Canis lupus familiaris: one gene and its partner. The main gene of each other region encodes a partner of the protein of the gene in region 2 in a complex. Links are inferred from orthologs where the notes say so. Each region holds a gene or a part of one and is shown on either strand. Other genes may lie near its edges. The genes, in order: COA1 and NDUFAF1.

What was found.
Region 1: NDUFAF1 (region 2) and COA1 share a complex: the UniProt entries of both Homo sapiens proteins name them as parts of the mitochondrial complex. The link is inferred for Canis lupus familiaris from reciprocal best matches to the Homo sapiens genes NDUFAF1 and COA1.

What each region holds. Positions count from the first base shown.
Region 1 is NC_049239.1:6,682,319-6,686,134, reverse strand, and holds part of COA1 (cytochrome c oxidase assembly factor 1 homolog), read right to left. Parts: intron 1,625-3,816; coding exon 1,476-1,624; intron 1-1,475. UniProt on the Homo sapiens protein: Component of the MITRAC (mitochondrial translation regulation assembly intermediate of cytochrome c oxidase complex) complex, that regulates cytochrome c oxidase assembly.
Region 2 is NC_049251.1:8,740,215-8,744,030, forward strand, and holds part of NDUFAF1 (complex I intermediate-associated protein 30, mitochondrial), read right to left. Parts: intron 3,692-3,816; 5' UTR 3,619-3,691; coding exon 3,043-3,618; intron 1-3,042. UniProt on the Homo sapiens protein: As part of the MCIA complex, involved in the assembly of the mitochondrial complex I.

The DNA of each region.
Region 1 (3,816 bases), on a different chromosome or scaffold from region 2:
CTTCCCTACCACAAGCACAATGGTGTCAACCACTCATCAGGGCACCAGAGCAGAGAACTGATGCTGTGTCAACCTGCCCTCAGCAAAGGCGCCTGCAGCCTTCCCGAGCCCAAGCATCAAAAGCAGACCCAGTGTTCTGTGCTGCAGACACAGTGAACAGCCAGAAGAGCCATCCCACATGTTGTGACAGGCTTGACGACAGTGCACAGAAGGCCATCTGGCACTCTGCACCTGTCCGCCCCTTCCCTTTTCTCCTCCTGGGCTCCTCCTCTTGCCTAGTGGTACTGCCACCCTTCCATTCACCCAGGTTGGACATGAAAGCATCACTTCTGACCCACCCTCTCCTGACAGAACCAAGCCACAGCTCTGGCCCATGCTCTCACCACTGCACATCTGCATGGCGATGCTGCTTTCCTAAAGGCAGTTCCCCATACCTGTTCCCTGGATATCATCAATCAGCTTGAATTTGCTTTCTTTTAAAGCCAGATCAAATACTTTATCAAAATACTTGAGCTTGAATAGCTTTTGTAAGAAAAATATCCCAATGAAACAATTCCCATTAAAAAATTCATAAAAACAATAACCCCCCAAAAAACTAGATTAGGTCATCTTGCTCTTATCATTAAAATCCTTCCAGCTTCTGCTGGCCCCAGAATCAAGTGTGCACACTTCACATGATGATGTCACGGCCCTGCAGCCCAGCCCAGCCCAGCCCAGCTACCCACATCTCCCTCCACAGCCTGTACCTCCACTGAGTTCACCCTGGCAGGAAACACGGCGGCATGCCTTCACGTGCATGCTGCGCCTGGGCCTGGCATTCCTTTCTTCTACGACAATATTCCAGGTCAATACCTGCTCCCTCCGGAGCCACTACGACAGCACTTGCCTCACTCTGCCTTACTTGGAAGTTTTAAGCTATAGTCCTTGAAAGCCTGCATCTCTATATTCCCCACGCAGCATAGAATCATTCCTTTAATTTGACATGAACTCAAAACATAGTTGTCAGGTTGATTTTCCTGGCTGAACTATAAAAGAACATCAGATGCAACTGAGAAAATGGGACTGGCTTCCCATAGAAGCAATGCAAATAAATGGGCAGCAAAACTACAGTTTCCAGAGTTGCTCATATTTGAATGAGCACTGACTGGCTGTGGATGTACTTCAAGTTCAAAGCTGAAGCTGTGGCTCCACCACCACACTCACTTCCCTACAACCTTCAGGTCAAGATGGTGACCTGAGCCAGAACACCTCCTTCCCTGCACCATTAATTCCTCAGAAAGGAAGAAAAATATAGGAGAATAAATTAACCCATACAGCCTTCAGAAGTGCTCAGTAAAACCTAGGGGCAGTTTTGCTCAGTGAATTTTCTCATAAAATCTTATTCCAGATTCCTCCTAGACTCCCCCCAGATGGTGGGAGCCCTCTCCTCGACTTTGATAGGCACTCAGCCTGAGTCTGCACGGGAAGCACATTACCTGGGCATCAGCAATGTCCACAAAGTTGTACTTGTCAGTGAGGTGGAGATAGTGGATGTGGAGAGGAGGGCCCAGGGCTTCCAGGGCCTCAGGGCGGCTGTGCAGCTGCTCCAATGCCAGCTGGTAATAGGAAGCCTTGGAGAAAGCTTCTAAAGGGGAAAGACAGTTGTTATATATTTATTTTTCTTTTTTCAACTTGGTAGACTCTCTGCAGAAAGTCAGAGGACACAATTCACGTACAGCATGGAAACAGAAACAAATGTGAAATTTCTGGATGGAAAAATAATTAGGGGGATCCCTGGGTGGCACAGAGGTTTAGCGCCTGCCTTTGGCCCAGGGCGCGATACTGGAGACCCAGGATCAAATCCCACGTCGGGCTCCCGGTGCATGGAGCCTGCTTCTCCCTCTGCCTGTGTCTCTGCCTCTCTCTCTCTCTCTCTGTGACTATCATAAATAAATAAAAAGAAAAAGAAAAAAGAAAAAAAGAAAAATAATTAGGGACCATCCACTGTTAAGCTGTCCATTTTAGAAAAAGTCAGTATCTGCAGGAATATGGTAGATGAACGTGAGCAAGGTATTTGATAGTCCTATGCCTCAATCTCTCCATCTCCTGTTTCCTGCCTCACGCATTGCCTCATTTCTTCATCAAGGGATTGGCTTGGAGCTTCTCCAGTTTTCCTTTTAGTTCTAAAGTCATATGATTCCATGACTGGCTCAAAGTGACACAGCCCAAGGCAGAGCTGTGGCCACAGTCTATGACTCTGAACTTTTAAACACTGCTCCCTCCACTAAGATGAAGGTCCTGATAAACTGGCAAAAAAAAGGACCACACAAAACCCTTGGGCCAAGAAACAGAAACTGAAAATGCTAATTTGTCATGTTTATAGATTTTTTTTTTAAATATTTTATTTATTTATTCATGAGAGACACAGAGAGAGAGAGAGAGAGAGAGAAACACAGGCAGAAGGAGAAGCAGGCTCCATGCAGGGAGCTTGACTTGGGACTCAATCCCAGTCTCCAGGATCACGCTTGGGGCTGAAGGCGGTGCTAAACCGCTGAGCCACCCGGGCTGCCCATCATGTTTATAGATTTTTTTTTTAAATCATGTTTATAGATTTAAGGTAACATTTCATGTAGGTAAAGCCTTTAAATTGTCCTCAGTCGTAGGTACACTTCTTGGTCCAAAGGCTACTAGTAGAAGCACCTCCCTGAAGGTGTAAGATAGACAAGCTGTCCCTGGGAAAGAGCAAGAGTAGGCTTCCCAAGTAGGGTTTTCAGTTTGGCAACAAGAAAGAGCTTCCTTCCTATAGGCCTGACCTCAATTTTGGGACAGAAAGACACGTTGAGCCTGGAGGGGCCAAGGAGAATACCCCTCGCAGGCTGCATCCCAGGAGTGGGCTTGTAGGGGATGCTGCAGGTATGAACAGGTGCCAGCCAAGACAAGAAGAGGAGCAGTGAAGGCTGGCTCCAGATTTTCATGGCTAGACACTGTTCTCAATATTTCGTGTGTCTCACAGGGCTCAATAGATCACAGGTTGTGAGATTTTATTTTACAACAATTTCATGCACAGGCACTAATATTATCTCTCATTGCACAGATAACTGAGGTGAGAGATCCTCCCACAGGGCCACACAGTGCAGAGCTGGAGCTGGGATTCAACTCAGGAGGGTGGCTACAGGTACCAGCTGGGGTGTCTCTACTGGATGACTCCAGCCTTCTAAGAAGGAAAGGCAGGCAGTCTCCCAACCCCTAAAATGCACCCATTCGTGTTGTGTCCTGCCCCCATCCCCGTGGCAAAAGGGGAGAGGAGACTGAGCTATTCCAGTCTGAATTATCCCTGGCGGTGCTCATCTCAGGTCACCTCAAGACTCTGAGACCTGTGGGCCAACTCTGAAGGAAGATGGGGAACAATGTATGCAGAGGACACTGAGCTCTCATTGCCTGTCTGCTGGTAATACTCACATCCTGGCAGGAAGTGAAAATGGCACAGAGTCAGAGTGAGAAGCCAAGCTCGACAGGCATAAAGGATCTTCAAAGAAAGTCAGTCTTGGAAAAAAAAAAAAAAAAAACTGCTGCTGCTTTGCAACCAGCAGCATTAAAATGACCTTAAATGCCTTGGCTGTCCACAGTAATTGTGGCCTGTCTTTACAAATTCAAATTTGGTTGCAGTGGGGCTGGACGTGGCATCTGTCAGGATTTTGCATTCTGGACCCTGCTTTTATTTTCTGCTCTCACCAAAGTCTCTTGCTCAAGGTCCCCTCCTCCACTAAATCAATAGCAGAGAATGGCAGGGCAAACAGGCTGACGACACTTGAGAATCAGCCAGTTTTCCCCACCTGT
Region 2 (3,816 bases):
AAATAAATAAATAAATCTTTAAAAAAAAAAAACCCTGCTATTTTATAATACCCACTGAAAACTTACCTTAAGCACTGTACAGGCGTAATTTCATCTTCACAGCCCTATGAGATACATACTTTCATTGTGCTCCATCTTACAGATGAAGAAACTGAGCACTCAACTAGGCAGTGGTAGATCCAGTGCCATTTAACTCCAAAATCTGTATTTTTTTTTTCCAGAGACACATACACACATACACATACACAAACACACACACACACACACACACACACACACACACACACACACACAAAGGGAGACAGAGGCAGAGGAGACACAGGCAGAGGGAGAAGCGGGCCCCATGCAGAGAGCCTGATGTGGGACTCGATCCCGGGTCTCCAGGATCACGCCCTGGGCTGCAGGCGGCGCTAAGCCACTGTGCCACTGGGGCTGCCCCAAAATTTGTATTCTTAACAACTACCTATACTGTCTCAGGAGAAGTGAATTGTAGTATTAATTAACAAAGGTGTTTGTTTATACCAATCGCAAAAATAATCTGATTTCAAGAATACTCACATATGAACTATTATTTACTAGCTGTCTTTTTAAATTTTTTTTTTTAAAGAGAGAAAGTCTGCACACACCGTACATGTGAGTGGGAGGGGAGGGAAGAAGAGGAAAGGGGGACGGAGGAAGACAGGCCAACTTCACCCTTATAATCTGAGACGAAACCAAGAGTCCACTGCTCTACCAACTGAGCCACCTAGGTGCCTCAACTAGCTGTATAACCTTAGTCAAGTTACTAAATCTCCCAAAGCCTCAGTTTCCTCATCTGTAAAATAAGGATGACCATACCTTAGAGGATAGTTGTGAGGAATTAAAGGGATGTATATACGTAAATGTATATGAAGTAGCACAAGGACTGGCAGGGCACACTTAATAAATTTTATCACCTATTTGCAATACCCCCCAGGTGTATCTAGCTATAGAAGTATTTTCTACTGTGGAATGACCAATCCATTCTGTGGATTTCAGGCACTGAAACACACACACACACACACCCTTTGTACGCATAGGTCTCTGAAAGAACACATACCTTTCTTTCTCATCTGGAAGGAGGGAGCCTAAGACCATCCCTATCATTTGCCTTTCTCTGTAAAGCACAATGCCCAAGCAAATACCCCAGGGCTGTGGCCGAGGCCAGGCATGGAAGCTTGTCCAGGCAGCCCTGGAACAACACCTCAACAGCAAATTTGCAAAAAGCCGTAAGTTGATGATGAGACAAAGAAGCCAATCTAAGTAACTGTGGAAAACTGCTCTGATTAGAAACTATAAGGCTAAAGACAAAGAAACTATATATAAACACTATATTCTGGTTGGTAAAATGGTTTCTCACAGAGTTATGGGCTAAAAGTTCTGAAACTGCTTCCTACATACACTGGGGATGAATCAATAGGTAAAATGATGGCAAGTGATGGGAGACAGATTTCTCACTATCAGAGAAGAAAATTATAGATAAGAGGGAGAAGCCCAGAATGAACCACATGGTACTACTGGATTAGAGTTCGAGCACAGTATAAACTCATATTTAGTTTACTACAGATATAGAAATAATTACAGACATGTTTCCAAAGGGTTGGTACACATCCCTGTATTTCCTGCTGAGGCCACTGAGAGGTCCTGGAAGTAATGTCAACCCAGTAGCAACAAACAAACCAGTGCCTAGATCTCCAAAAAGAAGAATCAGGGCTTTTTCAAGAAATGGCTAATTCTATGGAATTTTCTACAGAAAATACAAGATGTGCTTAGAGCATATCTTGTAGTGCAAGAAAGTACTAAAAAACAAACAAACAAACAAAAAAATGGAGGCATGTCAAAGGGACAAAAGCCAACCTGAAAGAGCTGCCAATTGCCAAAGCTGGAAGAATCTGAGCAACAAAATAAAAAACATAGTATTGGATTATAACCAGACTTTTGAGTCCATACAAAATGACTGCCTAACTAAATAAAAAATGTGGGAGAAAAAAATTTTCCTCTTTGAAGAATCCCAAATAATTTATGTAAATTCCACCCTTTCACAAGATACAACTTAAACCCATGCCCTACCCCATGCCTTGAATGTAGGATGCACTTACTGACTTGCTTCTACAGAACAAAGTATGAAAAGAAGGGGAAATAGTAACTTAACAATGGAGTACCCTGGCAAACACTATCTTGGCCAGGTGATCATGGCGAACACATTCGTGTTAAGTCATGTTGGTAGCATGTACCCAATAGGAGTGATGAGAAGGGTATTTCAACTCTGTGGTATTCTATCTAAAAGCCCAGAAACCCAGTCTTACAGGGAGAAAAACATCAGAAAATCCCAAATTGAGGGTCAGTCCACAAAATACCAGACTAGAATTTCTCAATCCTCATGAAAAATAAGGAAAGACTAAAAAGCTATCACAGACCAGGAGACTAAGGAGCCTAAGGAAACATGACAACTGGATGTAATGTGGTGTCCCAGATGGGCTTAAGCAGAAAAACTAGTGAAATCCAAATAGTGTCTGGAATTAAGAGGAATCCGCCAATGTTGGTTTCTCAGTTGTGACAAATGTATTACATCAATGTAAGGTGGCAAGAGTTGGAGAAGATGAATGAGGGGCATATGGAACTTTCTGTACTATCTGTACAATTCTTCTGTAAAACTAAAACTATCCTAAAATAAAAAGTTTACTTAAAAAAAAAAAAAGCAACAGGCTGAACCTACATCTGCTCTAAGGAACCTCTGGCCATCACAGGGTGTGTGGCCTACTAGGGAAATCTCCCCAAATCAACTGTTTAAATGTCTGACTTCTCAGGGCTCCTCAAACATAAGAACGGCCCCATTCTGGTTCTCAGGAACCACTTCCCCCTTATGCTTCTGCTTTACACATGTGCCCAGTAGTTACTTAACCCCATTCACAAATGACCTGCCAGGTGTGTTGATTTACAGAAACAAAACCCATATGCTACGGTTCATGCTACAATGAAATTCACCCCAGTTCACTAGAAAACAGGCTCTGGGGCTTCACTTACCCTTGGAATCCTGGATATCATTGCACAGTACCCACTGCGGCCACTTTCCCCGTCCTTAGGTGCCTCAGAGCTCAGAGTCCCATAGAGCAATGCACTCTGATTATTCCTGCCCATTTTCAGGAACACTTCACTTCTGCCTCCAATAGTCTTATCAGAAGTCACCATCCACTTATCTAAATCTTCTTTTCCTCGGAACTGCCAGACAACCTTGGCTTGTTCCAACAAGACCTCATGCAGAGGGCGGCCTTCGGGGCCTATCCAATGATTCACAATATCATCCTTCAAACGCCTAAACTGGTCCTTTATTTCATCTTTAATTGCTTTATCAAAACTAACTAAAGGCTTCTCCTCAGGAGAGGTTATATCCAAAGCAGCTTCTCTCTGGTGATGTCCCTGCAAATCTCCTTCAGAATTCCTCTGAGAGGAGGTTTTGCCAGGAGCAGCTACAGGCTTCTGAAGACTACTAGAACAATAGTCTACAAAATGAGTACCCAAAAATGGACATGAGGCAACATTTGGCTTTGGGCATTTTCTGAAAATATAAGTACCATTCAGAAATTTGAGAACCAAAGCCATGGTACGATAAAGTCCAAATGTAAATTTCTCCCTGGGCTATAATGGAAAGAAGCTTCTAACACCACAATTGCACCTAGAACAGAAAAGACATTGAACAGTTACCAGGGTAGCAATGAATGCATCACAATTTCAAATGCAACACAGATTGCGTTGTGAAATTCAGCAACTTATTTTCTAATTCTGTAAACATTTACCCAG